3 linked regions of the Alligator mississippiensis genome follow. The protein of the gene in region 1 purifies or fractionates together with the protein of each later gene. This does not show direct contact. Links are inferred from orthologs where the notes say so. Each region holds a gene or a part of one and is shown in the gene's direction. Other genes may lie near its edges.

The links.
Region 2: the proteins of GIPC1 (region 1) and ARHGEF12 purify together in Homo sapiens (co-immunoprecipitation; 4 studies listed by BioGRID and IntAct, with this or other methods). This does not show direct contact. The link is inferred for Alligator mississippiensis from reciprocal best matches to the Homo sapiens genes GIPC1 and ARHGEF12.
Region 3: the proteins of GIPC1 (region 1) and SH3BP4 purify together in Homo sapiens (affinity purification with mass spectrometry; 4 studies listed by BioGRID and IntAct, with this or other methods). This does not show direct contact. The link is inferred for Alligator mississippiensis from reciprocal best matches to the Homo sapiens genes GIPC1 and SH3BP4.

Annotation. Positions count from the first base shown.
Region 1 is NC_081831.1:24,770,630-24,781,178, reverse strand, and holds the start of GIPC1 (PDZ domain-containing protein GIPC1), read left to right. Parts: upstream 1-6,108; 5' UTR 6,109-6,195; intron 6,196-7,509; 5' UTR 7,510-7,554; coding exon 7,555-7,839; intron 7,840-8,259; coding exon 8,260-8,445; intron 8,446-9,115; coding exon 9,116-9,296; intron 9,297-10,472; coding exon 10,473-10,549. Other genes in the region: DNAJB1 (dnaJ homolog subfamily B member 1), read left to right, coding at 751-961, 2,841-3,409, 3,520-3,750. UniProt on the Homo sapiens protein: May be involved in G protein-linked signaling.
Region 2 is NC_081839.1:30,423,186-30,433,461, reverse strand, and holds the start of ARHGEF12 (rho guanine nucleotide exchange factor 12), read left to right. Parts: upstream 1-5,934; 5' UTR 5,935-6,248; coding exon 6,249-6,280; intron 6,281-10,276. UniProt on the Homo sapiens protein: May play a role in the regulation of RhoA GTPase by guanine nucleotide-binding alpha-12 (GNA12) and alpha-13 (GNA13). Acts as guanine nucleotide exchange factor (GEF) for RhoA GTPase and may act as GTPase-activating protein (GAP) for GNA12 and GNA13.
Region 3 is NC_081827.1:183,718,704-183,729,106, reverse strand, and holds the start of SH3BP4 (SH3 domain-binding protein 4), read left to right. Parts: upstream 1-5,576; 5' UTR 5,577-5,669; intron 5,670-5,879; exon of another isoform or gene 5,880-6,082; intron 6,083-10,403. UniProt on the Homo sapiens protein: May function in transferrin receptor internalization at the plasma membrane through a cargo-specific control of clathrin-mediated endocytosis.

The DNA of each region.
Region 1 (10,549 bases):
GGGAAGGCCGCGTGGTGAGCAGCTCCCAGTAGCCGCAGGAGCCAAAACTGGTGTTCACTGGGAGCTGGGTCTGCAGCTGAAGGCAGTGGCCTGCTACAGGGCCTGACCTTGGGCAGACTCCCTGCACCTTCTCCAGCCCTGGTGCAGGTGGGTTCCACCCCCTGGTCCCCTAGCCCCATCCCTGGCCAGCTACTCCCTGTGGTGGGGCAAGAAGCTATATGGGGGAGTCTTTTTGCTGCCTGGGGGGTAGCTTTTGGGGGGCTCCAGTAGCCTAGGGTGACGGGCACGTGGTAGGGAGTCCTGTTGTTGGGTGCCCCAGCTGGGACGTCATTGGCACCCCGGGGGGGGGGGCAGGGCTTTGGTGGGCGTAACTTCCCCCTGTAGGTGTGACCAACACTGCGCTCTGTAAGGTACGTCTAGCCTCTGGTACATACATACTCCCCCTCCCTTTCCGGAAAGGGGGCGTGGCTTTGTCGCTCCCAGCGTCCCTCTCTTATTGGCCCTCACAGAGGTGAGGGCGTGGCCTTGACGACAGTTACCCCCTCCCCTCCACCCCGCCCTCACACAGGCAGGTCCTCGCGCGCCCGCCCTCTGTTGGGTCACGCGCCGGCAGCAGCGGGCGTCCATTGGCTGGGGCGGCGGGGCGGAGCGGAGGCTCCGGATGGTTGTGGCGCTCTCTGGAACGTTCGGAGCCCAGGTATAAATGGGCTGAGACTGGGGCGCTGGCGGCGATCGCGGCCGGGCGGCGCCATGGGTAAGGATTATTACGGCACGCTGGGCCTGCAGCGCGGTGCCTCAGACGAGGACATCAAGCGGGCCTACCGGAAGCTCGCGCTGCGCTACCACCCCGACAAGAACAAGGAGCCTGGCGCCGAGGAGCGCTTCAAAGAGGTGGCCGAGGCCTACGACGTGCTCAGTGACCCCAAGAAGCGGGAGGTCTTCGACAAGTATGGCGAGGAAGGTGAGCGCCCGCGCCGTGTGGGGCTTTGGGGCTGCAGGGTTGGGGGCGGGGAGAGGATCCCAATAGCAGCGAGGCTCTGCGGGGCTTGCTGCACAGTGGGAGGGGTGTCCCAGGGAGCGGGGCCTGAGCCGCTGGGGGGGGCAGGGCTGGGGGGGAGAGATGCCCCGAGGGACCCGGGGGCGGGTCCTGCTCCATAGGTGGGAGAGGGGAGTCGGGTCTGCGGGCTCTCCAGGGGGAGTGGGGCTGTGGTGGGGAGCTGGGAATGGAGTGCAGGCTGGGGAGGGGAGGTCTGAGAGGAGTTGGGCTGTGGGGGAGGGCACTGGGGGGAGCTAGCCTGTGGGTGGAGGAGGTGACAGTGCAGGGTCCCCCAAGTGCTGGCCAGGGGTCAGTGCTTTACTGCCCTGGGCTGGGGCTTGCAGTGCAGAGTTGCCCTTTGAGGTAAGGACTATATCCTGAGGGAGGGCTGGGACCTCTAAGGGAAAGGGCATGAGGTGCTGGGAGACTTGTATCCCTGGCTTGGGTACATGGTGAGGGCCTTCCTTGAGGTGTGTGCCAGTCCACAGCTGTCTGCATAGGCTTGATTGGCCTGGGGTGCCCAGGGCAGAAGCACCTCCCCCCCTCCCCCCCCCCCGCAACCCTTCCCTAGTTCCAATGCTGGGTTGGAGAAGATGAGCCTGATGGGTCTTCTGAGGGGAGCTGTGGGCTAGGGCTGACCAGTGCTGCCCCTGGCGCCAGCCTAGCTGTGGAAACGGAAGTCAGGAAGCAGCCAAGCAGGACTGACTTGAGGAACAGGGGAGAGACCTGCAGTATGTGGCATCTTAGAAAAAAGTGGATACAGGCTCTTGCTACCTGTGCGGGCTTGGAAACTGGCCAGATGAATCCTTATCTCTTGCTGCTAGCTGCTAACTTTTAGCTTTGACACTGTAAAGAGTCCTTATTTCATGCTTTCTTGGGGCCTGTTCTAAAGCTGAAGGACAAGGACCTGGGGCACAGTGTGCTTGCCTGACTCCCCACCTTAAGGGTGGAAGTGTCAGGATTGGTCTAGATCAAGCCTTTAATTTAGCACTGAGGGCACACAGGCTTGTTCTACTGCTCCTTGCATGAGCCTTGCAGCTCCTGGCTCATACCTGTGACTGAGCTGTTGCTTGGAGACAGTGGGTGAGGAACCAGAACTGGCAGAACAGGAGAGAAAACATCCTGAAACAGCTTTGCAGTTTTTGTAAAGCTGGCCTGTGTTCTTGGTAGACATTGAGCTTGCCCTTGTGTGCCAAAGTGTTGGCAGGTCTGTGTGGATTGGCTGTGTTGGGAGAGGTGGAGCCTTGCAAGGGCGTGGCTTGGAGTTACAAGCAAACAAATATGCTAGAATCTTCTGTGTTAACTTGAACTCCCTGCAGCCCCTGCCTTAATCTCCCAAGGCAGGAAGAGCTTGCCTTGCTGTTTCCAAGCACCCTCAATTGCTATTGTGCCTCTGGGGCTGCTGTTAAGCATGTGTTTTCCTTCAGTTCAGGAATAGGAAGTCCATAGGCTCCTACGTTCCCTGCCTTGATATGGGGAGGGGGAATGTTAACCCAAATGATACAATCAAATTCACTGTATAAACTGATCTGTGTTTGAAAAGCTGGAAGCTCTGGATATCAGAACTCTTGGAGGTGACTCTAATTTCCCTTGTGATTAGAGAAAGTACTTGCCAGGTCAAGATGAGACTTCTCTTCTGTGAGGCACCTCAGAACTGAAGGATGAGACAAAATGACAATGGTGGTGGGAACAGAGGCCAAAAGCTTGGATGGTTCTGGAGCTGGGGATCTGGAATCCTGGGGTAAGCACATGAGTGAAAGTGGAGACTGATAAACTAACAGCAGGTTTATTGCCTGTTTTTCAGGGCTAAAAGGAGGTGGCTCCAACATGGGAGGTGGTGCTAATGGCCCATCATTCACCTACACGTTCCATGGAGACCCTCATGTTGTGTTTGCTGAGTTCTTTGGAGGCCGGAATCCCTTTGATACCTTCTTCATGCAGAGGAATGGGGATGAAGACATGGACATTGATGACCCTTTTGTCACCTTCCAAATGGGAAGTTTCAGCAATGCGGGTTTCCCCCGCACCCGAGGGGGCCACAACAGCCTTCGCCGGAAGCAGGACCCTCCCATCACGCATGACCTGAGGGTCTCCTTAGAGGAGGTCTACTCGGGCTGCACCAAGAAGATGAAGATTTCTCACAAACGTCTCAACCCGGATGGGAAGACGACACGCAACGAGGACAAGATCCTAACCATTGAGGTGAAACGGGGGTGGAAGGAAGGGACCAAGATCACATTCCCCAAGGAGGGTGACCAAACGCCCAACAACATTCCAGCCGACATTGTCTTTGTTCTAAAAGACAAGCCACACAGCATCTTCAAGAGGGATGGCTCGGACATCATCTTCCCAGCTAAGATCAGCCTCCGAGAGGTGAGTTAGGGGGTCTGGGTACAGGACTCGCTGGAGTTCTAGCTTTGGGTCTGGGGTGTACAGACCTTTTGTTGAATTTCATGGTCTCTCTGACTTGTCTCTCTCTGCAGGCCCTGTGTGGCTGCACGGTGAACGTCCCAACGCTGGATGGCAGGACCATTCCCATGTCATTCAAAGACATCATCAAGCCTGGAGCAAAGCGCAGGATCACTGGGGAAGGTCTCCCATACCCCAAGAACCCAGACCAACGCGGGGATCTTATCATAGAGTTTGATGTGCGGTTCCCAGACAGAATCCCCCAGACATCCAAGAAAGCTCTGGAGCAGATCCTTCCCATCTAGTTTGTGCAATCTGTGGACCTGAGACCAAGACTGGCTGAACACCAAAGCCTGTGGGACCATAGCCTTGGGCTCCAGGCTGGGGCTCTGGGAACTTGGTTTCAGTGCCTTGACCCAGAACATTGCTTGAATCACCTACACCAGTGAGCTGCTACATTTGGGAGGAGCCTACAGACACACTGCTGACAAATCATCTTGTAAGGATGTGACCAATGACTCAACCCACTGTCTGCATCCTGGGCAGCCCTAAATAGGACAGCTGCCTTGCACTTCATCTCTTGCTGAGTTGGAATCCCTTCACCATGTGGGGGGCATAAACTCCAAACTGGACAGTCCTTACTGTTGTAGTCCTTGCTTTGTGTCTTGTGTTCCTTGTTAATTCACTGGAGAACTTTTATCCTGGGTCACTTGGATGTTCTTGGCTATGAATTCCCACCTCAGAGTCCTGCCTGCCTATTTTGTTTGCTGGAAGGTGGATATACTCTCGCTGAACTTAATTGTGGGTCTGTGAAAATAACCCTGGTAAACACTAGGGCTTAAACAAATGTCTTGAAGATGAGATGAAATGAATAAGCCCTGGAGTTTAAACCAGTAGCTATCCAGGCCTAGAAAAATAATGCAAAGGGATTTCCTGGGTCTTAAATATAATCTGCTTTTTCAAATCTTTTTTCTGAAGAGACTTTCATAGATGCATCCCTCTACATTCTTGGGCTCAATTCCTGGTAGGGCAATGGGCTGAGCAGGTATTGCCTGGTTCTTGCATCTCTGCCAGCAGCAGAGTCTGACTCCTTTCCTTACTCACAGTTGCTGTCTTAAACCAGAGGATTTTGGCCAACCACTGAACTCTGGGGCATTTGAGGCCTTGGCCTCTGAGCTTGTTAACACCACCTTTGCTATCCTTTTTTAATTAAAGGGTTCCTGCTCCTGGTACAGGAGCATTACAGCACTTCTTGTACATACTTTGTATAAAAGTTGTGTAAATTTGACATGTAATTAAAATGCAGTGGAGAGGCTGGTTTATTTTATAGGATTGTATCTGAATTAAAGACTCATGGGAGGAGCTGGTGACCTTCCCTTTTTTTAAACATGCAGCACTGTTTTGAAGTATGGCTGGACTGACAATTTTCAGTTACTAATGTGATAAGACCAAACTGGGGTTACGATTAAAGTCTTGGTAGCCAAAGCCCTGTGTGGCCTTATTTGGGGGAGAGGTATCTGTCCTGATGTGGGAAGCAATATTGAGTTGCACTTGTTAGACACTGAGTGGCTCAAAGTGGCCTTTCCCACAGCTGCTGTTATTTTACTAAGGCAGGGTTTTAAATAGGCTAGATCCCCACTGGGAAGGGTGGGGACAGTGGGTGTAGGGCTAAGATTAGGTGAAGCAACTGCAATGTAGATTCCCTGCCCTGCGTGGAACAAAAGATATGCAGGTGCCAGCTTAAAAGAGCCAAGACCTACGCTCACCCAGATCTTTATTAAAGCCACTAGCAACTACTAGCCCTCATCCTGTGGGTGCAGCTTTTCCTGCTTGTTGGCCTGGCTTGCTGTACAGGGGTGTGTCCCACAGCCCCTTGCTGAATGAACAAGGGTGTGGTGAAAGCCCAGAGGCCCAGACGCATTCAGCCCCTGTTACTCCTTAGGAGAAGGATAGAGTAGGATTTCCTGTTGGCACAGGTAGCAATTACATGACACTCCCAGGCAGAAGCAAGATCCTGGGTTTTCCCAGCCGGTAGCTTCCCCTGGGTTGGGCCCTGGCCGGATCTACATGCTTTTCTCCGCAGCTGAGGGGATCTCGGAGCCTAGATCCCTGCCTTCTGGTCCCTGGCAGCTACAGCCAGACACCTGCATTCCGGGACAGGCCGTGCTGCTTGCGCTCGGCTATAAGACAATACGGGCCTCCTGCAGCCACCTCCCAGAAACTACGGGTCCGGGCGTGCCTCGAGCGAGCATTGTATGACGGGACTTGTAGTCCAGCGCTCGCGCCGATGTGGTTCAGTGCGTATGGTCCCGCCAAGACCTGCGAGACCCCCGGGATGCACCTGACTTGGCTGCCCACCCGACAGCACACCTGATTGGCTCGTTCTGGCCGGATCTGGTCTGCAATTGGCTGGGGGCGTATCCAACTCCTCTGAATGGTCTCTCCTACGCACTCAGCAAATGTTAACCCCTCCCCCCCAACCACTCCCCGCACTCCCCTCTCATGGTACCTCCCACCTTCCCCTTCCCTGGGTTTGGACGCTTCCAACTGCACCCAGGCGGGGGAAGCGGCTGAATCCGGAACGGCCCACCCAGCCCTGAACGGCAGGCCGCGCTGCGATTGGTCGGCGGCAACGCAAGGCCGCTCTGTGATTGGCGGAGGCGCTGAGGCTGGTCCCGCCCCCCCTCCCGGCGGCGCAGGCCCCAGCTGGAGTTGGGTGGAGGTGCGGGGTGGCTGGCGCGGGTGGACGCGTGAGTGTGGGGCTGCGATGGGGGGAGGGGGCAGGGGTCTTGAGCCGGGCGGAAGGCGGGGGCTGGTTCTGGGGTCTGTGCCGGGCGCGCCGGGGGGAGGGCACAGAGCGGGGCGTTAGGGCTGGGGGGAGCAGGGTTGCCATGTGCCCCTGGTCAGGGGTCCTGCCTTCTGCCACTGCCGGGCACCCAGGCCATGACCCCCCCCCCCATCGGGCAGGAGCACAAGGCAGGACTCCTGGGTCCGGTCCCAGGCTCAGCCATTGATTCCTCTCCCCCCGACCTGACATGTCCCTCTGTGCCTCAGTTTCCCCACATGGATGGGGGAGCCCCTAGCTGTTGGCTTCCCGTTTACTTACCCGTTTGGCTTCCCTGAGGCACCAAGGGAGCAGGGATGAAACCTGGGGGCAGTGGAGTGTAGGAAGTGCTACACCCCCACCCTACACCCCCCCCCCCCATGCCCTGGCTCCTGCCCACACTGCCCTGGTGTTGCTAGGCCCTGCTCAGTCACAATGGCGAGGTTGCCTTTAACTTGTTCCCAGGCAGGAACCCTGCCCTCCCTAGGCACATTAACAAGCCTGGTCCTCTACCTGGACCCAGGCCCACAGCAGGTAGCTGCTGGGGACCTACCAACCCCCTGGGTGTGGGGCTGAGCCAGGCCCCACGACCTCTGCCAGGCCCCCAGCACCTGCCAGCTTGGCCTGCAGCATGCAGCCACCTCTGGGGGGGACCAGGCCCAGAGCCTCTGGAGAGACCAGGGTGGAGGAAACATACCCAGCTCTGAGCATGCAACAGCTGAACTGCCACATAGAACAGGCTGGAAAGATGAGTACAATAGACCCAGGTGTTGCAGGGGGACTGAGGCCTTTTCTGGCTCTGGGATATGCAGTCCCAGGAGAAGGCACTGGAGGGTCCCTGGCAGCTGGCATGGGGGAAGTGGTAAAAGCTTTCCTCTGCCCCAGGAAAGGGGCAGGGGGTGGGTAGCCACATTTCCCGGGCATTGGAAGAACCCGCTGGGGCCCGTTCCTCAGCTCTGAGTCAGCCGGGCATGGCAGCTCCACCCGCATTCCAGTGCCTGGTGCCGGGACCCCCCTGCGCTGGCTTCTACCTACCCCTGAGGGGACAAGGAATCTGGGAGAGCATCCTGGGGGGGAGGAGCCATCTTTGGGGTCCAGGGAGCCTGGGAGGGGGTGCAAGGGTGGTCTGGAATCTGGGGTGGGGGACTGGTGTCCTGCGGGGGTGCAGTTTCAGTCTGGTGCGGCAGCTGGGCTGGGACCCAGGTGCCCTCCCTGCAGCCTCTGTCCCCCCCCCCAACAGGTGTCACCCGTGGGTGCTGGTGCTGGCCGTGGTCCCCCTGCCCTCATGCCGTTAGGCCTTGGGCGCCGGAAGAAGCCCCCCCCGCTGGTGGAGAATGAGGAGGCAGAGGTGGGGCGTGCGGGGCCAGGTGGGGGAGATGGGGCAGGGGGTCCAGGAGGGCTGGGAGCCCTGCATCCTGGCCTGCCTCCCCCGCCTGCTGGCCTGCGACCCCGCCTGGTCTTCCACACACAACTGGCACACGGCAGCCCCACAGGCCGCATTGAGGGCTTCACCAATGTGCGCGAGCTCTACGGCAAGATCGCTGAGGCCTTCCACATCCCCCCCACTGAGGTGCCTAGGGAGGAAGGGGCACAGGACCTGGAGCTACAGGGGGCTGAAGCTGTGGGGGAGGCTGGGGACAGGGGGTGTAGGTGGAGGGATAAGGGGCATGGGACAGGTCTAGTGGGTGGGGGGGGCAGACAGGGAGACAGGTCCTGGGGGGCAGCCGGTGTGGCTGTCTGAAGGGATGGGTTTAGGGCCTGGGGTAGGTGAGCAGGTGGGAGGCTTGGGGCAGAGGGTGAGGATGGGTGGAGGGATGATGATCCAGGGCCTGAGGGGCCCGGTAGGAGGCAGGGGTGGGCAGGGGGTTTGAACCTCAAGGGGGGAAAGGATGGGGGTCCTGGGCCTGGGATGCAAGAAGACAGGGTCTGGGGGGTGAGAGGCAGGGAATGGGGCCTCTTGGTGTTGCTCACCACCCCTCCCCACCCACAGGTGATGTTCTGCACCCTCAACACACACAAGGTGGACATGGAGAAGCTGTTGGGGGGGCAGATTGGCCTGGAGGATTTCATCTTTGCCCACACACGGGGGCAGCGCAAAGAAGTCGAGGTGCTCAAGGCTGAGGATGCTCTGGGGCTCACCATCACTGACAATGGGGCCGGCTATGCCTTCATCAAGGTGGGACCTGACCCACAGCATCTGGTGCCCATCACTCCTCACCCACAGCCCCCAGGGTCTGGGTGGGATCACAGCCCTGCTGTCTCAGCCCAAATCTCTGGCATCTGCTAATCCCCAGTTTGTGATGTTCTCCAGTTCCGGGGCTTCAGACTTTCGCCCTGCTGTTCCATGCTGCCATGTTCTGCCCCAAAGCTGGGCACATCTCGGCAGTGGGCAGAAGGCCCCATGTATGGCTGCAGGTCCGTGCCAGGGGCTTCAGCCCCTTCAAAGTGAGGCAGTGCAATCTGGGCAGAAGGAGTCAATGCAGGGGACATGTTCGATCCAGCTGGGGACACAGGGGTCCTTGTGCTTCAGGGCATGGCAGGGTCAGGAAAGACCTAGGCTTCGTTCCTGATCACTAGCTCCCTGCTGGTGCCCCTCACTCCTGACTCACAGTCCACTGCTCCCCCAACCCAGCCAGTGCCCCTCACTTCCAGTCCCGGACCACTGCCCTCCCCCTGCCAGCTTGCCATTGTCCCTTACTCCCAACCTACAGCCCTCTGTGGTCCCTGCCTGGGCAGGGTTAGGAGTGAGGGGCCAAGGCCAGCTGGCTGTGCCAGGAAGGCACTGGGGAGGGGGGGTGCTCAGGCTGTCCCAGCCATGAGTCCCAGTGCAACCCCTGCCCCCACAGCGCATCAAGGAGGGCAGCGTGATTGACCGCATCCCCCTCATCGGTGTGGGTGACATGATTGAAGCCATTGATGGGCGCAGCCTGCTTGGTGCCCGCCACTATGAGGTGGCCAAGATGCTCAAGGAGCTGCCCACGGGCCGGCGCTTCACTCTGCACCTTACTGAGCCCCTCAAGGCCTTTGGTGAGTTGGGGTGGGGGGACCTCCATGAGGCAGGGGCGGGGCCTTGTGGAGCAAATGTGGAGCTGGGGCAGGGATGGAGTCCTGGGGGGAGGGCCTCAGTATGGCAGAAGTGGGGGCAGGACCCTGGGGTGGGGCAGGAACTGGGTGGGAGGGCAGGGGCAGGGCTCCAAGTGGAGCATTGTTGGGTGGGGAGCCCTGGGTGCTTGGTGCTGGGGGAACAGAAAGGGTGAAACAGCCCATAGAGGGCCCTCACCCCCCAAACACTTGGCCCTGGGGCTGCACTGCCATGCAGGGACAGCAGATGGTGCTGTGACTCTGTGGCCCATGGAGACCCTCCCAAGGCTGCAGTGCCCACATGTGTCCAGGAGGGGGCAGGACCTCCTAAGCACCAGGTCGGGGCTGTCAGCAGGAGACACCCTGTGGCCCAGGGTAGCTGCCCAGGACAACACCCCGCCCCCCCCGCCCCCCCCCCCGGCCAGGAGCAGAACCTGGGTGTCCAGGCCCTGGCACCTCCATTGGCCTCAGCCACTGAGTTCCTTCCTGCAGTGACTCATGGGGTCCTGGGATGGGTGTTGGGGGGGAGCCGCTTCCTCTTGGCTCTTGGATCCTTCCCTGCCAGTAACTGGGGGGGGCTGCTCTGGCTGCACAGAGTCCTCAGCCCTGCCAGTGCCCCACACTACTGACCCAAATTCCCTGTCATGTGTGTCCCCACCTTCCCCCGCCTCCAGCTCTGCTGCTGCCCCTGGGACAGGGTCCAGCCTATTGCATTGGTTTTTAATGAGCACTGGGCTGCAAGTGCCCCCCCACTTCCCAACTGCACCCACCAGCCCTGGTCCCCTGCAGGTCCCTTCCCAGAGGCTGGTCCCACCCCCTCACCCGCAGGTGCCCATGCCAGATGCACCTGGACCTCCCTTCCCCATCCTGCCCTGCAGGGAGAGCAAGGGGCCTGTGTGCAGCAGTGGCTGACGCAAACCGCCTGCTCCGTGCCAGGCCCGGTGCGCCATCTGGGCGGGGCTAAGCCAGCTGGGGGTGCACAGGGGAGCTTCAGGCTCCAGGGGACCATGGACTGGAGTTGGGACCCCTCCCTCCAGCCACAGGCTCTTGGCCCTGTTGGGGGTGGAGCTGGGAATTGCCCCCTCTGGCCCCATACTGATCTGGCCTCTTGCTCCCCCACAGATATGATTGGGCAGCGGTCATCGGGTGCCCGGCACGGGAGCAGTGCTCAGCTGGGCACGGGCAGGGGCACCCTCCGT
Region 2 (10,276 bases), on another chromosome or scaffold:
GCAGTTAAGCAAATGATGTCACTGATCCAATATACTTGTAAGTGGGGTAGACTAGTGCATTTTATCCCCAGTACTAAATCCATCACCTACAAGCATGAAGCACAGAGAGGCCCCAGTTTCACAGTTGATTTCAGTTGCTCCTGAGAATCCTCTCAGTTCCCCAAAGCACTTGCACTCACTTCTGCTGTATGCAAAATGGAGATAAACAGATTTGAAGGTCAGAAGACATCTAGGTTCATCTAGCCTAAGCCCCTCCTATGTAACAGGCCAAAGCACATCAAGTAGTGACTTCTGCTTCAGATCAAAGCTTCCATTTAAGCTCCAACCTGCATTTTAGGATGATGTCTAGTCCTGCCTTCAAGACAACAAGCGTTGGAGAATCCAGTGCATCTGCAGGTAAATTATCTCCATTAGTAAACGTGTTCAGAATGTGAGAAGGATTCTGCTTTAACCAAGATTCCCTATACAGTTACATTTCTTGCTCTGCTTTCACCTAGATTTGGGTTCATGTTTGCATCCTGCAGTGAAATGCAGAAAGGAAGGGGTCTGAAACTTTCTGAATAGTACAAAATAAATTGAAAGGGTGCAAATTTTGGCAACCCAAGATAAGGAAACAACAACTGGTCAAAATTTGAAACGGTGACTATTTTTCTTGAAATGTTGGAATCTGGAATACTGTGAAGGAAGACAGCTTTAGAAGACACTCCAGCTCTTTTGTGAGCTCTACAGCAAGTAGCTCTTTTTCCTGAAAGCTTGACCTCTTGAATGTTGGGTATAACCTTTGCAAAATATTCTTCTGGTTTTTGTTTTTCTTTCTTTCTGAATCATGACAATTCACCTAATAAGTCCAGTGCTTGCTATGTAATTGTGTTCCATCCTTATTTTTAAGTGAAGATACAGGAATGGAAAAAAGCTGGTATTTCTGCCTTCCATCTTTCCTGTTGTTCTGTTTGTGCTACTGACTTCCAGCAAGTGGTGAAGCTAATTTCTTGTCTCTCTTTCCTATGGAGCCTTGAACATGAGTTACAACAGCTGAGCCTAAGTACCAGTGAATTGAAGCCAAAACCAAAGTCAGGAGTGAAATGCAGCTCACTAGTTGCTCGCTTCCCCATGGGATGCATGCAGCCCTTCCATGCTCAAGCCAGACTTTGCACGGTGTTTCTCGGGTAAGCCCGCAACAATACATGGGGACTGAACCCAGGTTGCATCTGCCATCAAACTCATCATCTGATGTTTGATTAACCGGCCCGTTTCGGATGCTTGGACCTTCTTGTCCAATATGTCCCTTGGTCAGTGGGGTGATTTTCAGATGGGAGGCAATACTGGGAAGTCCCAGCAGATGGCAACAGGTCCTTGGGTGATGTGTAGGCATCACCTAGACTCCTCATCCAGTTCTTTTACCTTCAGAAATACACCCTGCAAAGCGCTTTTATATAAGCCTGTCTTTTCAGGAGTCTAATAAAAGATACCTCTGAGGAGCTATCATCTTCTGCCACCCTGTGCTGTGACACCAGCTGAGGAGTTACGGTTCAAGGGACTCATCTTCTGCAAGACGTGTAGCTCTCTGTCTGGATAGTAAAGAGCATACTCAAGGGAGCAATGTTGCATTCCCTTGGAGAAATGGAGTAGGTATCTTAATAGGTGTTTTCACAGAAACATAGATGTTACAAATGGAAGGTACTATCTATAAATTGCAGGTTAAGTGAGGATTTTATAGCCACAAAGATCTATTTTAATTGGTGCTACACACTGTAATTGCTTATTGATTTCTTTTTTTTTTCTTTTTTTTGGGCTCCTGGCTTTCACACTAAAACTGCTCAAGCAGCAGAAACCTCATAAATACATAGATATGAAAATAATAGCTGTGCAGTCAGAGTCTAACAAAATCAACACATTGCTAAAAAGGTAATTGCTACTTGCATGGGGGCTTCACTGTGGATTGTTTTAATTAGCTCTCCCTTAATTGTTGAATGAAAGAAAAATAAATGGCCATGTGAAGTGCTAGAGGAGAGCAGTAATCCACCCAATAATGCTGAATTTGATCATGCTGAGCCAAATTATCAGCTACTGCAGGCCAGTGCAACTCTTCTGATGGTAGTAGAGCTGAGCTGGTGTACAGTAGCAGTCTATGTGGTCCCTTCTCATTTTGGTGTCTGCCTGCACCCAGGCCTGCCTCCTAATTGTTTTATTGCAAAGTGTTGATTTTGTTGTGCATAAAAACCTACATTAAAGAAGACACCAAGGCCTAACTTATAAATAGCAGATCTGACACACACAACACAGGCTCTCTTAGAAACCCATCTCTCCCACAGCTAGTCCCTCAGCATAACTCACTACCCGGAAACCAAAAGGGGAAACAGCTATTCTCTATGTCTGAGAAAATGGCAAGTGTCATCTTAAGAATGATTTCATCTCATTTCCCCTCCTGCAATGCATCTGTTTTGGACCCAAAAGTGAACTGGGTGCTAGCATAGTTTTATGGTTTGCAGCAGCTAGTCTCACGTTATTGCAGAGACTTTACTGCAGGGTACAAATCTCTGGACAGGTCAACTCCTGATTATGCTGCAAATCTTTAACGCCTGGGAAAAGCACTGCAGTGCTGCTCTCAGCAGGAAGGAGTCTGTTATACACACTTGGTGCTAGTGAATGGGGCATTTGCTTCAATCTCTAGTAAGAAAAGACCAGTGGGCTCCAGGGGGTGTTATTACTGCCTTGCCCTGGGAGAGGGGGTGCCACAAAGCCTTGCTAGCAGACCTGGCACCTTGCATGAATCCATGCCACTTGCGCTTGAACCTGTGGCACTGTGACCCTCAGTGGCAGAGATCCTGCATGAACCTGTAACTACAAATCCTTTCTCATAGTATATGTGTGAGAGGCCACCAGGGTGAGCGTTAAACTAAGTTGGCCGGGGGGACGGGGACGCAGAGGAACATGGGGACACTTTGCCATCAAGCCAGGTGACGCGCAGGTAGTACCCAGGTACGTGATGGGGCTAGGGCAGGTTTAGGAACAAGGGGACGGCACGGGCACCTACAGGAGGCCTCAAATGCCTCTACACAAATGCTCAAAGCATGGGGAGTAAGCAGGAGGAACTCACTCTCCTGCTAGCTAGCAAAACCCCAGACCTAGTGGGGCTCACGGAAACCCGGTGGGATTCTAACCATGACCGGACAGTGGCCATCGAGGGATACAGAGCAGGGAAAAATACACGTCCTCAATGATCAGGATGAGGTCAGAGGAGAGGCAAAATGAGGTGCTTTGGGTAAAAATGCAAGGAGGGTGTGGGGAAAGGGACTTGATATGGGCGTCTGCTACAGACCGCCTCACCAGGAGGATGAGCTGGACCGGGAATTATCAGGTCAGCTCACGGAGGCTGTAAAGTCAAGGGATGTGGTCTTCATGGGTGACCTAAACTACCCAGACATCTGCTGGGAGGAGCAGGCAGCCCAGTCCGACCGCTCACTTAGGTTCCTAGCCAGGATACAGGACCTCCACCTAACCCAGGAGGTGCATAGTCCCACCAAGGGAAATGCCTTGCTTGGGTTGGTCCTTGCCACAGGCGACGACCTGGTGAGGGGTCTGCGGGTACTCGACCACCTGGGCGACAGTGATTATCTCCTGCTGGAAAGCAAGCAGCAAGGCAGAGGTCCTCGACTTCAGGAGGGCTGACTTCTATGAGCTAAGCAGGTTAGTAGGAGAGGCAGTGGTGTCTTGGAGCTTTAATGAGATGGGAGTCCAAGACGGGTGGTTGTTCCTCAAGGAGACGATCCTCCCAGCTCAAAGGGAGTCGGTGCCAATGCACACCAAGGAGGGCAGGAGTGCTAAGAAACCCCCATGGCTCAGCAAAGACATCCAGGGATGCCCGAGGGCAAAAAAGGAGTCGTACAAACAGTGGAAGCAAGGGGCTAACACCAAGGAGGATTATACCTCCATTTTTAGGACTGCAGGGAGGCTGTTAGGAAGGCCAAGGCAGAGATGGAGCTAGGGCTGGCGACCAGAATTAAGGATAGTAAAAAGTCCTTTTTCAAATACATAGGAGTCATAAGAAGGCACTGGGTACCATGGGGCCCCTCCAGGATAGGTGTGGCCATCTGGTGATTGCAGCAAATGAAAAAACTGACCTCTTTAACAAATTCTTTGCCTCCATAATCCTGAACAGGGACCAGGGCATCTCCCCACTAGAACTGCAGACGGACCCGGAGGAGGCACCACCATGCCTAGTGTCAAGAACAACCTAGTTAGGGAACTTTTGGAGGGGCTGGATGTATTTAAATCAGTAGGTCCAGATGCTCTTCACCCACAAATTGTTAGCAGGTTCAGGCTGGACATCAGGAGACATTACTTTACAGTTAGGGCTCCCAAGGGAGGTGGTGCTCTCTCCTACCTTGGGGGTCTTCAAGAGGAGACTGGACAGACATTTGGCTGGGTTGATATGACCCTGGCACCCGTTCCTGCCCGGGGTGGGGGGTCAGACCTGCTGATCATCCCTAAGCACTATGATACTATGACCTTGGATGCGTATGCCTAGGCAACAATAGGGAGGAGCGGAGGTTGCCTAGACCAGTGTTTCTCAACCTGTCGGTCGCGATCCAAAAGCGGGTTGCAAGAATATCTGAAATGGTTGCGAACGAACTTAAAAAATGGATTCTCCTTTAAAGGAGAACAAGCTGGGAAACTGGCTTTTCCCTTGCAGGCTGGCAAACTTCCAGCCTGCAAGGGGCAGCTTGGGGGCCTCCTGCCCCACACCCTCAGGGCAGGGGGTCGGGAATGAGGGGCACGGGGTTGAGACTGGCCATCAATGTTTACAAGTGGGTCTTGATACAAAAAAGGTTGAGAACCGCTGGCCTAGACCGTCCATCCCACCTGGAGACAGCTCCCAGGACGCTGGTCCCTCGGTGGCTGTGGTTACCTGCACATCCCAGAAGCAAACCCATGGAGCAGGCAAGGAGGCCACCACTGAACCACGGTAATGCGGCCCGTGAACCTTTAGCATGCAGAAAATTGCCCGCGGCACTTGGTAATAGGGCACCTAGGTGGGGTGCATGGTGTTCACAGGGGTAGGGACGTGCGTGCTTGCCGATGCACGGGGTTAGAAGAGGTAGGGTGGGGTGCCTGGGTCTGCTGCTCTTGTTCCTGGCGCAGGGGCTCGGCCCTAGGACAGATGGGGCGGGGAGGCAGCACCCCTGGAAGGCGCTGGGGCAGGTGGAAGCTGCCGGACTGGAGATCTGCCGGCTGCAAAGACCGAGCCAAGCGCCGTCCGTCCTGCCTGGCAGGAGCGGGACTTAGTGCCTTGCTTCTCTCCATGCAATTGTACAGCTGGAGCCCTGCCACCGTGTCACACCCATGGCTACACGTACCAACACACATGTGCACGCACCGGTACACACACGGGTACATGGATACGTGTACAAAGCCACATGTGCATAAGTACAGACATAGACACACCGCCGCACACCCTTCTGCACACATGGGTACACAAACACACACAGCCAAACATGGGGACACGCTACTAGGCGGGGACACACTACACGCACCCAAGTAGCTGTGCAGTCATGCACACCGCAACACACTTTCCAACATGTGCGCAGGTACACATGCGTACACGCTCACAGGTACACGCAGCTGCCCATGCACGCACAGGTACATACATGTGCACATGGGTATACATGCACACACAGGTACACACATGCGCGCGCACGCACGCAAGCACGCGCACGCTCCGCCGCGGGGCGGGGCGCGGGGGCCGCAGGGACTCGTTGTCCGCGCGCGGAGGGAGGCGGCGGCGGCGGCGCGGGGGCGGAGCGGTGCGGCGCGGCCGGGCCCGGCCCAGCGCGGTGCGGCGGCGCGCAGGGATCCGCGGCCCGTGAGGCGGCGCCTCAAGTACGGACAGGAAAATAAATAAATAAATAAACAAACAAACATCCCCGCGCGGCGCTCGCCGCCCGCCCCGCGCCCGCCCAACCCCCGCAGCGGAACCGGCGGCGCCGACCCGACCCGACCGGCCCGGCCCCCGCCCCCGCCCCGCCACATCCGCCGGGCCGGGCCGGGCCCTAGCGCAGCGGCAGGCAGGCGCGGGAGCCTCGGCCGCGCCCGGGACATGGGCCCCGCATCGCCCCGCGCCCGGCGCCGCCGCCCCCGCACCGACACCGGCACCGCCACCGGCACCCGCACCCCCCGCTAGCAGCGCCGCCGCCGCCGCCCCCGCACGGAGCGCCGCCGCCGCCGCCGCCCGCCCGGCCGCAGCCCCAATGAGCGGCTCCCAGCCCGCCGCCACCGACAGGTCAGTGCCCCGCCCGCCCCGGCACGGCCTGCGGGGCCTGCAGCGCGTCGGGGCGCGGGGCCTTGCACACTCGTGTGAGCCCCTCCCCCTCTGCACACTCGTGTGTGCCTGTCCCCTCCCCCCACCCTGCCCCGCACACTCGTGTGTGCCTGTCACCACCCCCACCCTGTGCCGCACACTCGCATGTGCCCATCACCTCCCTTGGCACACTCGTGTGTGCCTGTCACCACCCGCCCCCGTGCCACACGCTCGTGCCCATTACCTCACGTTACACACTCGTGTGTGCCTGTCACCACCCCCCCGCGCCACACACTCACATGTTCCCGTCACCTCACTTTGCACATTCGTGCGTGTCTGTCGCCTCTCCCTGCCCTGCCTCGCACACTCATGTGCGCCCATCACCTCTCCCGGCCTTGCCTCGCACACATGTGTGATCATCATCTCCCTCCACACACTCGTGCGTGCGTGCCTCTCACCACCCCTACCGTGCCCCGCACACTCATGTGCCTGTCAGCTCTCCTAGCCCTGTCTTGCACACCCGTGTGCACCTGTCACCTGTTGTGTGTGTGTGTGTCCCGGTCACCCTGGTGCAGGGCCGTCGCCTCCCTCGGTCCCTGCTGCGTTCCGCGCCCCACGTTTCCCCCCGGCGCTCGCGGTGCCGTGGGCACCGGCGACCCCACACCGCCTGCGCGGACGGCGGACGAGCCGCCCAGTAACCCCACACGGCAACTTGTGGAGGCACCGCGGGGATGCGAAGGAAGGGGGCTGCTTTTTTCTTTGCATTCACTTTTCGACTACTAGGAAACCCCTCGCCCTGGCACAGCTTTCAGGCAGGAGAAGCCTTGTCCTGCATAGGTGCGAGGGACGGCACCAAGCGAGAGCAGAACGGTGCGGGCTGAACCGCGTTTGCGCCTTAATGTGACCTGCGGTGCCTGAATCCGCTGTGAGCACGCTTTCAGGGCCTGCGGGAGAGGGCATCGGTTGCAGAGTTTGGGCACGAGAAAGCGGCTCTGACTTTTCATGAAAGTTTAGGCCTCCACATTTATTCTGGCAACGCGAAGGATTCTTGCTGTGCGTAAAACAGCCAGAGTCCAATAGAGAGGAAGCAGGTCTCCTGCATTTTCTTTGGGGGACCCATTCGCCGCATACCGAGGATTTGAAAGGAGTTTTGCAGCATGCGGCATTTTTGCTGGAAATATAACGATTTGCTTGTTTTCTGCAGTGTGTGAGGTGACAGCAGGGAGAGAAGTGTGTGTGAATTGTGTATGTGTGAGTGCATGCTCCCAGGCAGATTTTCACCAGACCTACCTCTTTGTACCTGGAGGGATGGTGACAGCAAGGAGAAGATACTGTTTCAGTGGCTCAGTGAGACTCTGTCGGCGTTCAAAAGGAGCACGTGCCTTAAAACAGCTTGAAAGGCAGCTTAGAAGCAGTAGGGTCATCTTCCTCGGACGTCGGTGCCTCGCTGCACCAGGAGGAGTCCAGGAGGGCGGCAGGCTTGGTTGCTAATAAAAGAAAATAGTTTCCATGATTGCATTTGGGCAGGCAGGCTGCAAACGCTTCCTGCTGCTTTCAGTCCTGGTCCAGGCATGTTTCCGTGCGGTATTCATTAAAAGCGCTCGAGTAGCAGCTTTAATGCTAGGAAAAGCAGCCGGCTTGAGGAATTGGGAGATGTAGAAGCTTTTGGATGTGACCTGGGTACGGCCACGGGGCCTTGCCCCTGACCTGGAGGAACCCCAACTGTCATGGCGAGAAGGAAATTCAGCTTTCATGGCCTGTTTGTCGCTTGGCTGAGGCTCTCGACCAAGTGCCAAATGTGACGGTGTGTTCTCGTGATGTGGACATCTGCCTACTCGAAACTGGAATGAGGCCACCCAGTCCTTTCATATCGGGCACAGAACGGGTTTCAGAAAGCACTGCCCTGGCAATCTAGTGGTGGAAAGCTCTGGGCCCCGTTAAAGCTGAAGAATTGTGTTTTGCCTCTGAATGGGAAGCTCTTAATTGAGAAATCTTAAAGCAGGTATGACCTAAATGCAGGGCTGGTGGCGTCAGTGGGATTGCAGGGTATAAGAGCATATTTTGGGTTTAGCTCTGTGTGACAGTCTATTTATAAGTCTTGGCATTCTGACATGTCCATGGTTGTGCTGAAACCCCCTTAGGATAAAGCAGCGTGGGCCCGTGCGTCTGAGTTAGGGTGTGATCACCTTCTGCTTGACGATGGCTGATGATGATCAGGTCTTATCTGGATTTTTTCTGCTTTGGTTTCGCCAAGTTCACCAGGAGCTTTCTGGTATCGTACTGACATTCGCCTCGACTGGGATTACACCTGCTCCTAACTCTCATCGCTCAGCTCATCTCTTGCACTAACTGTACGCAAGCTCTGGTGAACAGAGAAGGTAGCGGTTTCACTGTTGCTCCTAGACACGATGGGTTAGGTCGCAAACCCCTTTCCCCTTTTAGTCTATTGCTCCTTTTCTCTAACACTCAGCAGATTCTAGGTGTCTCTGTCATTGCCCGGGGGCATTTGAAGAAATGCTGTCAATTTGCATTGGCTTGGCTTGGGATAGTTGTGTGTCTCAAAGCGCATCAAACTCTTAGTCCAGATCTGTTTAATCATAGGTGTGTCCCGTCTCTGTATTCTTCTGTGTTACTTGATACACCTGCCCACTAAAGCAGAAAAGTTGTAAGGGATGATTTCCAGCATCTCCCTTCCTTTCCCTTCCCCCACTCCCCTGTCTAAATACCTGGTACTCAAAGGCATTTACTTATTTGAATTTTATAAAAAAATGACAGGTTTCATCAGATTTTTGACAGCTCCTCCTCCTCACCAGAGTTATTTTGGAAATAATAAGGAAGTGGCTGGCATGTCCTAAGAATGGAGTGAGAGCATCTGTTGTGTAGGGTATGCCATTAGGTCCCTAGAGAAACACTGAAACATTAGAAGCATCCTTCTCTTAAAAAAAAAAAAAATTAAAAAAATAGCCCTATGGAGTATGTGCACAGAACTGCCTGGGATAGCCTGGAAGGTGCAGCCGTGTGTGCCCTGGGTGAGGTCTCAGCGTAGAAAGGATTTGGAAACTTTGATGCAAGGGCGGTGAGACTTGCCTCCTTCCCTTCCCATGCACGCTAATGGATACTCCCTTTGAACTGAACTCTGGGGTAGAGGCTTACCTGAGCTAATAGAAGCAATGCTTAGTTAACCCAGGGAACAAGGTGTTCCCAGCTGTTTGCACCTCATTAAGGCCTTGTTTATTTGGAGAGCCTGAAGGCTTCCAAAGCTACTTTGGAGTTGGCAGACCTAGTTGAAGGCTGCTGGTAGGAGCCTTGGGATTGACAGCTGCTAGTCAGGGTCACACGTTACGCAGTTCAAACTGCTGCATTGTAAAACAGACAGTGGAGCCAGGTTCCCATGTGCTTAACAGATACGCAGATAACTGAGGTTTGTTATGGTGTGCAGTAGACAAATACAGGGGATGGGCCTGTTATGCACGTCGGGGACTTTGCACTGTGCTGTACTGTACTGCTCTCTCCATAATTTAGTCCTGTCACCTCTTGGATGGTAACAAATAATTCTTTTCCATCTGTGGTGTTTATACCCTGGAGGTTTGTAAATAATCCCCTAATCTCTTAACTGTGGATACGGTACATTCTTCTAAAATGTTTTAGCCCCAGGGTCTCTACTTTTGCTCTGTGTTCAGCTCCTTTTTAGTTGGTAACATGGTTTGTTTGTTTTTTTCTGATACCGAGCACAACTCTGGGATGTTGCCTTTCAAGTGCAAAGGTGAAGATTGAGGGGTCCAGCTTCACCTAAATTGGATCATGGAGTTAGCTTTAGGCCTGGCTGTGTATGGCATAGGATGTATTTCCCCAATTCTATTGGGGCTGCATGTCAACATGCAGTCGCGGTCTGTCCCTCCCTCACCCCAGAGTTCCTCTGTCCTAAGCTAAAAGCAGACATACTTTGGGCGTTGTGCTGTTTGGCAGCTTGTGGCAGGC
Region 3 (10,403 bases), on another chromosome or scaffold:
GGATAGAGAGTACTTGGCAGACCAGGTCATCCTTGAGCAATTTCAGAATGATCTGGAGGAAAGGACGCAGCGCTGGGTTCGGCAGCACTCCCCGCATACCTGCGAAGAGGCCCTGAAACTGGCCAAGGCCTTCACTGCTGCGGAAGCAAGCTACCCCAGGGAAAGAAGGAGCCCGGGACCAGTGACGGTGCCCCCAAAGGAACTCAAGCGGCGGCGTCCTCCCACCCGGGGAGCTACCAGGGACACCGTATGTTTTCGGTGTGGACAAAACGGGCACTTCTCACGGGAGTGCCCTAGCCAGTCCACCGAGCGCTGGATCCCTGCCGACAGGCCCAGGGGCCCAGCTGACCGACGCCATGGTCCTGAGGCCAGCGAGCTGATGGACTGTAGTTATGTGGTCGGCGAGGGAAATGCAACATGGCCCAGTCGTTAAGGCCTGGGTGGATGGACGCCCCGTGCAGGCAACCCTCGACTCGGGATGCGCCCAGTCCATGGTAAGGGCCGATGTGGTATGCCCACAAGCGGGAAGGAAAGCCCCGCCGGTGACAGTGGCCTGCCTCCATGGCAAAGCCGAGCGTGTAGGGCGGCAATGGATCCAGCTTCGCGTAATGGAGCATCAGGGGGAACTCCTGGTGGGAATAGTATCCCAGTTGGCATACAAAATGCTGCTGGGTCGGGACTGGAAGCCACTTTATGACGTGCTAGACCGAGTGAGGGATGCGGAACAGGCACGCAGAAGGATGTGGAACCGCGAAGGATGGCTGGGTGAATTGGAGGAGGACCACGAGTCAGCTGATGAGGCCGAAGGTCTAGACCTCAGCGACTTCACCAGCAGTGTGCAGTTTCGGGAAGTGCAAGGAGAGGACCAGGAGTTCAGGGCGCTTCGGGAACAGGCCCAAGACTCCAGGAATTGCCCCGGGTTGCCGCCAGAGGGACAGCCCTGCTTTGAGGTAAGAAATCACCTCCTTTATTGCATACCAGGGCACAGACGGGAGGGTTCCACGGAGGCGCAATTGGTAGTGCCTACCCGGTTCCGTCAGGTTATCTGGCAGTTGGCTCATGCAAGCCCTGTGGGAGGGCATTTAGGTCGAGACAAGACCCTGGCAAAAGTGAGCCGGTGGTTTTTTTGGAAGTAGCCCGGCGGTGTGCAGCATGCCCGGAATGTCAGAAGACCCGGACTGAACGCCCCGCCAGGGCCCTGCTCTGACCCATGCCTATTATAGACACCCCCTTTTCGAGGGTACCCCCTTTTCGAGGGTAGCCCTAGACATCATGGGACCACTTCCCTGTAGCAGGTTCAGCCACCAATACATTTTGGTCATGGTGGACTACGTGACTTGATACCCGGAGGCCATTCCTTTACGGGCAGTAACCGCCCCCTGTGTGGCTGAGAAATTGGTGAAATGGATAGCAAGGATGGGTGTTCCCCGAGAAATTCTAACCGACCAGAGAAGGAATTTTATGTCCGGCAACCTGAGGGTGGTATGCCGGACGCTGCAAATAAAGCAGATCCGCACTTCAGTGTACCACCCCCAGACCAGTGGGCTGGTGGTACGCCTGAATGGGACCATAAAGCGAGTACTGAGGCGCTGCATTCAAGGGGACCCCCGGAAGTGGGATCTCCTTCTACCCTTGGTACTGTTTACCCTTAGGGACACTCCTCAAGACTCGATGAAATTTTCCCCATTCGAGCTAGTTTTAGGGCATCGCCCTTGAGGCCTGTTACAAGTCCTGAGGGAGGAATGGGAATGAGGTGGTGGACCACTACAAGAGCCAGCAGTATATCGACAGGAGTTTCAGCAAAGGATAAGGGTGGCCCAGGACATAGCCCGCGAGAATTAGAGGGAAGCTCAGGCCCGCCAGAAAGAGAAGTACGACAGCTATACCAAAGAACGGGTGTTTGAACCCGGACAGCGAGATCGGCAGCCCAAGGTGGCAAGTGGCCGGGGTGTAGGGGAGGTCGGAGCTCTGTGAGTGCCCGCCGGGAGGCGCAACGACCCTGGAGGCTCCCCCAAAGGGGAACCCCTCCACTGAGGCAACATTCCAAGTCATGGCAGGCAAGTTAAGGGGACCCCCTGACGTCAGCAGGGGTAGCCTGTGGGGTCCACCCGCGAGCCCAGGACAGACGCAATCCATAGTCTGGGCTAAGGCTGCATGGGAGCGCTTAATCAAACGGAGGCGAGCACGCTCTTGATTTTAATCATCTTCAATTACTTGTGGTCAGTTACTTTACTCCTGAGTCAAGATGGTAGATCCAGGCAGTTTGCAAATCCCAGTCACCTGGCCACCCAAGTCAGACAGGAAGTTACCTTCCATTTAGCTGTAGTAGCTGAGAATAAGATTACAGAAATCAAAATGTCTATACTAGTCTCATTGAAAGTACAGATGGATTCCAGTTGCTGTTCTCTAGTGAAAAAAGAGTGTTAGTGTCTGAATCAGCACTCAGAGATACCTGTTGGCAGTTTCTTGAAAATACAATCTGAGAAGGGTAATGCAATACTCAGGAATCTGGCTTCCCTGAAGTTGACGTGTCATGATCAGGGTGCTTGGAATGGAGAGGACTGGCAGAGCTGTGCACACAAGAGCAGGGTGATAGTCTCCATTTTCCAGCTAGATGTTCAGTGTCTCTGAGGCAGCTGAGAGAATTCTCTAATCAATCTTTAATTTTATATTTGGAGACAGCTCTTTGTCATAAGACTGTGTTGAAGCAAACTAAAACCTTTAATGGGTTTCCCAAGTCGCACCACAACGCAGACGAAATTACAACTGGGCCCCATGGACATAGTTCTGTTGTTATACCTATTCCTGTAGAGGAAGGGAGACATGAGAAAGTGTGCTCGAGAGCAGCCACACTCATTAGCAACTGGCTTAGGAGCTGCATTAAGTAGCTAGTGATAACCAAACAGCTACGACATATATGCCCCTATGTGAATTTTGGCAAACAGTCTGATTCAAAAGAAAGGAAATACAGTAGTTACGATGGATAGAGATAGCTAGCGTGTGTGTTGCATTATTCATGATTGCAGGAAAGCTGTACTGAATGCATTCAGTGAAACTTATACACGCACTTTTGATAACATTTTCTTCAAAGAGCTGATCAGTCAAAGAGCCCTGGTGACTTGGCAGCTATGGTTTGAGTATTGCTGGACTAGAGGATGGAATCATAACACTGGTCTGGGACTCAGGAGCTTGGTTCTGTCACTGACCAGGATCCTAGGATGTGTCCTTGGTCAAATCATGTCTTCTGTCATTCTTCGTCTGCATTGTCTACTTAGATTTTCAGCTTTTTAGGGCAGGAACTGCTGTTTAATCTGTATGTTCAAAGTGTCCAGTATGTGGGAACCTGATCTCAGTTTGGGCATTTGAAATATAATGATTCATAATAATATAGTTCTTATTTTCATGACTGCTGATCCTTACACCTGAGATCCCTAGTACAGGGTGAACTTAGGTCATCCCTTATTGATCAGTGACCAGCACAACTCGTCTCGGAAGTCTGAACGTCCTAATTAAGATTTTACCATGGCGATTTTTATGGAATAGCACACACATTAAGTCAGCATCACAGCTCTTAGAGAGTTCCCTCTGCTGGAAATATGGAAGTAAATTCTTTACCAAATGTCCAAGGAATAAAAGGCACAGAGCTAGTGTAGAAGCACTAAGTGTCTTTGTACCTCCCACTGTGATCCAAAGAGCTAGGAAGTATTTTCTTCTGACTGGTCAACTAGTACTAGTACTGGTATCATGAGTTTATCTGCTTCAGTGTCATACTGTGTTCATATTTTCTAGTCTGTGATACAGCCTTCTGGCTTCAAAAATCAATGAATATTTAGAGACCTGGCTCTTGCACAGCAAATATAACACCGTGGGCCAAATTCTGCTGGTCTTAGACCCAGAATAATTCCAAGTGTTCAATATTATTGCTTCTACACACCCAAAAAACCTGTACCTACATTCTGGATATAATGTCAGACTCCTCTAACTCACTTGATTTTTATATATTGTCATTCCTAATCTCAATGGTTCAACAAGTGACAAAATCCAAATGCATATTTATTAATATTAATTAATAAGGGATATTAATCTAAGTGCATTAGAAACTTTTTGCATGTTTCCTTTTCAGTGATGTATATCAGCAAATAGGGTTTGTTTTTTTAATCTTTCTCACCTTAGTTTTAAAGACACCATTTTTTGTAAATGATGACATATGTTTTTTAACATCTAGGACTGTTTTAAATACAGGAACTGATGATCAAGACAGTTTACATTTTGAAGGTTTCTTGCCTCTGGGCATGCTTCTTGATAATTCCACAATGATTCAGCACTCTCACAGTATTCTTCTGGGGTAACACAAACATTTGTAAGTGGAAAGGGGTGTAGATTATTTGAAAGGACAGTAGCGTAATGTACCCAAACACAGCTGAGAGGGGAGGGGAGTGGGGGAAGTAGCACTGGTAGCTTTTAAAATTCAGTTTCTGTTTGTACTTCTGGTTTGCTGTCATATTACTACTTACGATAATATAACCCAGAGGCTCTGGTTGAGGTTAGAAAGCTTCATTGTACTAGGCACTTTAAAGAAAGATCCCACTGGTTAGAGTTTGTTTCACATACCACCTCTGCTCTTGATCCACAGAGGAGGCCAGTGTGTTACAGCTCTCCAGCAAGAAGAATTGGTTCTTTAGCTGGAGAGAGTAATGCTGAAAAGTCGCTAGGACTTTGGATAGAGCTGTGGTTTAGGTCTTTCTTCTAGGACAGGTCCATCTGTTGCCATCGGCAGAAATCTGGAGTGCACTGGAGTGCTGGGCTCCTATTTTAATGCACTGATGGCCCTGAAAGGACTGACGTGTTCCCCCGCCACCCATCACGCAGCAGGGATCAGACTGCAGCGTGGTGCTGGGGGTGCTTCTGGGAGGCAGCACTACACATGAGGGAGTGGATAGCAAGGCGGCACACAAACATGGCTCTGATTCTGTACTTTGGCTGCTGTGTCATGTCAGGCCAAACCCAGGGAAAAATAACTCAAGGAGAAGTCACTTGACTTACACATATTTCCCCACTAGCGAGGTAAGAAACGATTCCTGCCTAGAACAACTTACAGCCGAGAGGGGTAGGAGAGACAGAAGATGTGCAGAACAGAGATGCATCTCTCCAGCACTTTCTAGGTGAAGTAAAGCGGCACATTATTAAAGTGGTGTGCTCCTCTCCACTGCCCAGGTGTATCTGAAGTCATATCTGTAAGCAAAGCTAAAATGCCAGGAAGAATCCTATTAAGAAGGCAGGATGAATGTAACCACCCCAGATCTCCTTTGAATGCCATCTTTTATTTTGTGGTACTACCCCAGGCACTCGCCATAACCCTGTGAAGTGCGGGAGCCTTGGCTTTCTTCTCGGAAAGGACTGGTCGCTGAGGGACCTGTGCAATGTAAATATTTGCCATGGGCACGCACTGATGAAATCCGCTGTTACTAATAAACTCGCGGAAGAGACGCTATCCCGACGAGCCTCGCCACGGCCCTTTGGGGCGGGCGGGCGGGCGGGAGCTGGAGGCCGGGCCACGTCCTGAGGCGGGAGGGCCTCCCTGCACCTCATGGGGCGCCCGGAGCTCTGAACCCCTGGAGCGGTGCAGATGTTACCACTTGGGAGAAAAGCAGGTTTTCACAGTTGCCGGGGTAGGAGTCTTTTATTTTTCCCGCCCCACACCATAAGAAACTACCCCCCAGGAAACTTGGTGTGGTGTGACCAGTGGCAGGAGCGGGGGCTGGGGCGGCGCTGGGAAGGGCGAGGCGGGCGCTGCGGCGGGGGGCGTCCGCCCGCTCCGGCCCCTTCCCCGCGGGGCGGGACAGGCAGACAGCGCGGCCCCTCCCTCCTCCTCCTGCTTCTGCTGCCGCCCGGCTCCGGCTCCGGCTCCAGCTCCCCCCGCCCGTGACATCAGCGCTCGGGCTGTGCTGCCGGCTCCGCCGCCTTCTCCCGCCCCGGGAGGCGCTCGCTGCCCGCCGCTCGGCCCGGGCTGGGCTGGGCTGGGCTGGCGGCGCCCCGGCCCTGGGGCTTGTGCCGCTGGGACCCGCCCGGAGCAGCCGCAGAGGTAAGCGCGGGGCAGCCCTGCCCGGCCCGGACAGCTCGGGAGCTGATGCGGGGGCGGGCGGGACGCGGCGGTGCGGGGAGCTGGGAAACGTCCCGCGCGGCGAGCCGCGGAGCGGGCACTTGCCTGCTGCGGGGGGCCTGGCGCACGTGTCTGCCCGGGGCGGGCGGGGGGAGCGGTGGAGAGGGAAGAAGAAAAGAGGTGGTGGGTAGAGAGAGAGAGAAGAGGAATAAGAGGAGGGAGAGAGAACTGCGGAAGGGAAGAAATGAACCACTTGAAAACGGGCTCTGCCTCCGTCAGACAAAAGACAAGACCCCCAAGTCCGTTGTGCTCTTCTTGCACCTCTGCAAAGCAGCCCCTTTGACGTCCCCGTCCAAAACGTTCATCGAGACTGGGGCAGACCCTCGGTCCATCTTGCCAAGCCGCCTGTCGCGAGAGACGCAGGCTGCAAGGGAGGAAAAGGTGCTTGTTAAAGGCCAACCGGGGAAAAAGACGGGGGCTGAGCAGAAAGAGGTCTCAGATGCTGGGGGGATATAGCAGGGTGTTTTGGAAGGGCTCAGGACTTGTGTGCATCGTGGATGAAATCTTAAACAGCTGCAACTGCCAGCCAGCAAAGTGGGGATGCAGGATGCCTGTCCTCTTGCTTATTGGTGAAAAATGACAGTTACTAGGAATCTTATCTCTGCAAAAGGGCTTGCCCTGTGAAGCGCACCATACTTTCTTCATTCTGTGAAATACTTTTTGAGCTCCTGCTTAATAGGCAGCAGCGACTGCTTTGCTGCTTGTTTATTTCCATAGGTCGAAGTTGTATTTTTAACCGGGTACCACAGTCGGCGCACATTGTAAAAGCTAGTATAGAGAGGTCCCTCAAAATTCATATTGCGGTAATCTTTGGTACTCCTTAAAAATACCTATGAGCATAAACAGGCAGCAAGTAGACTGGGACTTGAGAGAACCAGATCTTATTCCTGGCTCTGCTCCTGACCTTCTGTGTAATCTTGAACAGATCGCTTCACCTCCCTCAGCCTCTCTTTCCTGTGTGTATTTGGACTATGAGCTTATAGTTACAGGCACAGCCTTTTGCTATGCGTTTGAAGCACAACATTTAGTTTGGGTTTCTAGGTGTTCCTGTAATAAAAAGTTTGCATGGAGTAAAGACCTCCGAAGTTATTTCTGTGTTTCTGGGCAGACTAAGGAAGTTCAGGGCATTTGAAATAACCTGGCTTTTAAAGCCTGCTCTGATACTTCTTAACATTGTCCGTGTGTTAAGATACCTGTATTGTTGCCACAGCATTTAGTAGGACTACTCCCAACTGACCCTATGGCAGCGGTTCCCAAACTGACAGTGTCCACCGCCAACTTAAAATGATACAACCTTAAGTACCACCAGCAATTTTTTGTCATATAAAGTAATTATAATAAATCTGTTAATGTGTACCACTGACAGGTTCTCTGCGTACCACTGGTGGTACCTGTACCACAGATTGGGAACAACTGCCCTTTGGGCATGCGTCCCGTCAAAGAGCTCACAAAGTTACTAAGACCATTCTTGCCAGGCCCTTAACCATATTCTGCTTATGACTAATTGGGTTTAGATATTTTTTGTTACTGGTCAGATACTGGAGGGAATCTTTGTCAGGCAGATACTCTTGAATAACAAAGATGATGCCATGGTGCTTTCCAAAATTCACTGTGATGGGGTTGCTTCAAAAGGCAATGTTGATGTTTGTAGCCGTTAACTGTTTTACAGCTAACTTTTACAGTCAATATTTTGAGCCTAGGACTGATGGGGCAAATCTGTTTCTATGTTTGTTTGCAAAGTGGTTTAGTATCGTGATTGATTCCTGATGTTTTGGGTTTTTTTAGATAATGCTTTATGCATATTCAATACTTTTGTTGCCGGGCGGTTGCTTTTCAAGAGCTTCTGATAGGTGGGGGACGGGACTTTTTTTTCCTTTTACGTTTGGGGACTTCTTACCATCTTTAATTTTACCCCTGAGCCTGAGGAAGGGTGTGTGAGCCCGAAAGCTTGCAGAAAAAGATAATTTTTTTTTGCAACATCTTAGTTGGCCTAATAAAAGGTATAATCTCTGAACCAAGAATAGTAGAGTTTTGCATTTCTTTCTGATGGGTGGGGCATTGAGACCATTAATGTGTGCAGTTCCTACAGGACCGGCATTGCTTTGGGAAATGGAACATCAGGTATATAGCTATGGGGGGTAGCAAGAGATTTAACGTTAGGGCAATTGACACTTCAGAAAATTTTACTAGTTTGTAGGATGATGCTAGCAAAGCCATCCAGTGCCCCAAAGCAGACTTCTCAGAAGGATTGGGGTGTGTTTTGATATTAGCTTGGCCTTGTTGCCTGTTCCTAGACCAGGGAAACTTTAAAAATGGCTTAAAGATACTGCATTTATGTTGTTTTGTCTTTGTTTCCCAGAACTTGATGGCTTTTCATTTTGCTACTCTGCATTTTTGTGTGTCAATATAATGGGCTTGAAATCCCTCCTGAGAGTCCTGGCTGAGAGACTTCATAAACCAGCCTCTTTTTAGAGAGGAGTGTCCTGTCTTCTTCAACTCCAGAGGATCTCTTCTTGCTTCTCAGTGACCTCTCTAGAGCAGTCTGTACTTTTCACTGACTTGCCAGGCACTCGTTTGCAAGCAGTGGGCACTTTCTATTCAAGGCTCAGAGCAAACCGTAGAAGCACTGACAAAGAGAAAGCTGCTGCAATTCTCTATCATAGCCTGACATTGTTGACCTTGTGGGGCAAGTTGCAAGCCTCCTATCTGTTGCTGGACAGAGGAGGGGCCTGATGGAGAGACGACGCCTGGTAGGTTTTTATTGTATTACTGGCGGTTGTCTCTTCCATCTGGGAGGAATTCTGAAAATTAAATAGACAAGTCATTGGTATTAAGGATATACTCCAGAGAGACTAGATGTTATTGTGTATCATAATTATTTATTCAGCATAACAACGGTTATTTCATAGACATGTAAAATAGATAGGGGTGCACCAATAAGGATTTTCTTGACTAATGATTAACCAACCATATCGGCCACTGCCAATCTGATAACCAATATTTAGTAATAGTGCAAGGCATTTTAAACTACTGATATAAATAAACCTTTTTTGTTGTTTGTTTTGCATTTATAACACACACACACATCCTGCCTGCTCTGGCCCTGAGTGAGGAAGGTAGTGTCCACCTTATTCTAGTGCATGTTGCCCCCTCGCCCATGGGTCCTCCCTGCTCCTGTGCAGCCTGTGCTGCTGTCCTGGGTGGTCAGGGCAGACCCTCCCACGGACAGTGGCACCGGGCACGTCTGGAGCCCCAGAACATGCTGCTGCCTCAGTGCTGGTGGGACCCATACAGCCGAGCTCCCGCGGCCACCAAGGAGAAGCCACTTCTGCAAAGGCACCCAGTGCCCGGTGAAGCAGAATGTTCCTTGTGCAGTGCCTTACCCCAATGTCTCCGTGGCAGCCCTGGCGCTCAGGCCTCTGCTGCGCACATGGTGTTGCTATGGCAGTAGCAGCAGTAGCAGGAGCCCTAACGATCTCTTTGTTGTTGAGTACGGTGCCCTGTGACTGCTCCCTGGCACCCTCTTCCACTTCCGCTGCTCACTGAGCCCTTTAGCCTGCTGCAGGCTCAGGCCCGCGGTGGGGTACCGGCTTATGCACGTGAGGGTGCTCTGGACATGCAGCCATACTTATCAGCTACAACAACCAAAAAAAGCCGATAGCCAATAACATAATTTTTCCTTTTATCAGTGCTGATCTGATAACCAACCAGATGTGATAGCGATAGCCAGCCAGCATCCCTAAAAATAGCTATGGTTTTTGCGTCTTTAACTGCCTGAGCCAAAGTCCATTTAAAGTAGCTAAAATTCTTCCTTTGATACAAGCAGGTGTGGGAGCAGGTCATAAATACAGAAGTGACATAAGCAACCCCAAGTACGAATAGTTCGGCTGTGGGCCTTTGTACACTTTCTTACGCCTACTCATCGTGGCCGTGATACGCATGCCTGTTCCAGAGTTCTCCTACCTTCTTCTGTGCAAGAAGGATCTTTCTGATCCTCCCTCAGCTATAGGAGAAAAAACAGGATCACATGATTCCAAGACCAGATGCTCAGATTAGTAAACTGTTGTTACCATTGCTACTTAAACTCTGCAGAGAGAGTTCTTCACCAAGAAGAGTGTGTATGATAAGGAAAAGTTGATCTGCAAGTTCCTGTGTGCAGTGTTTCCTATGCTGGCATGTTAAGCCAGACTTCCTTTGGGCTAAACTGCCCTCCTTTGTCTGGCTGTTGCTGTACATGTTCAAA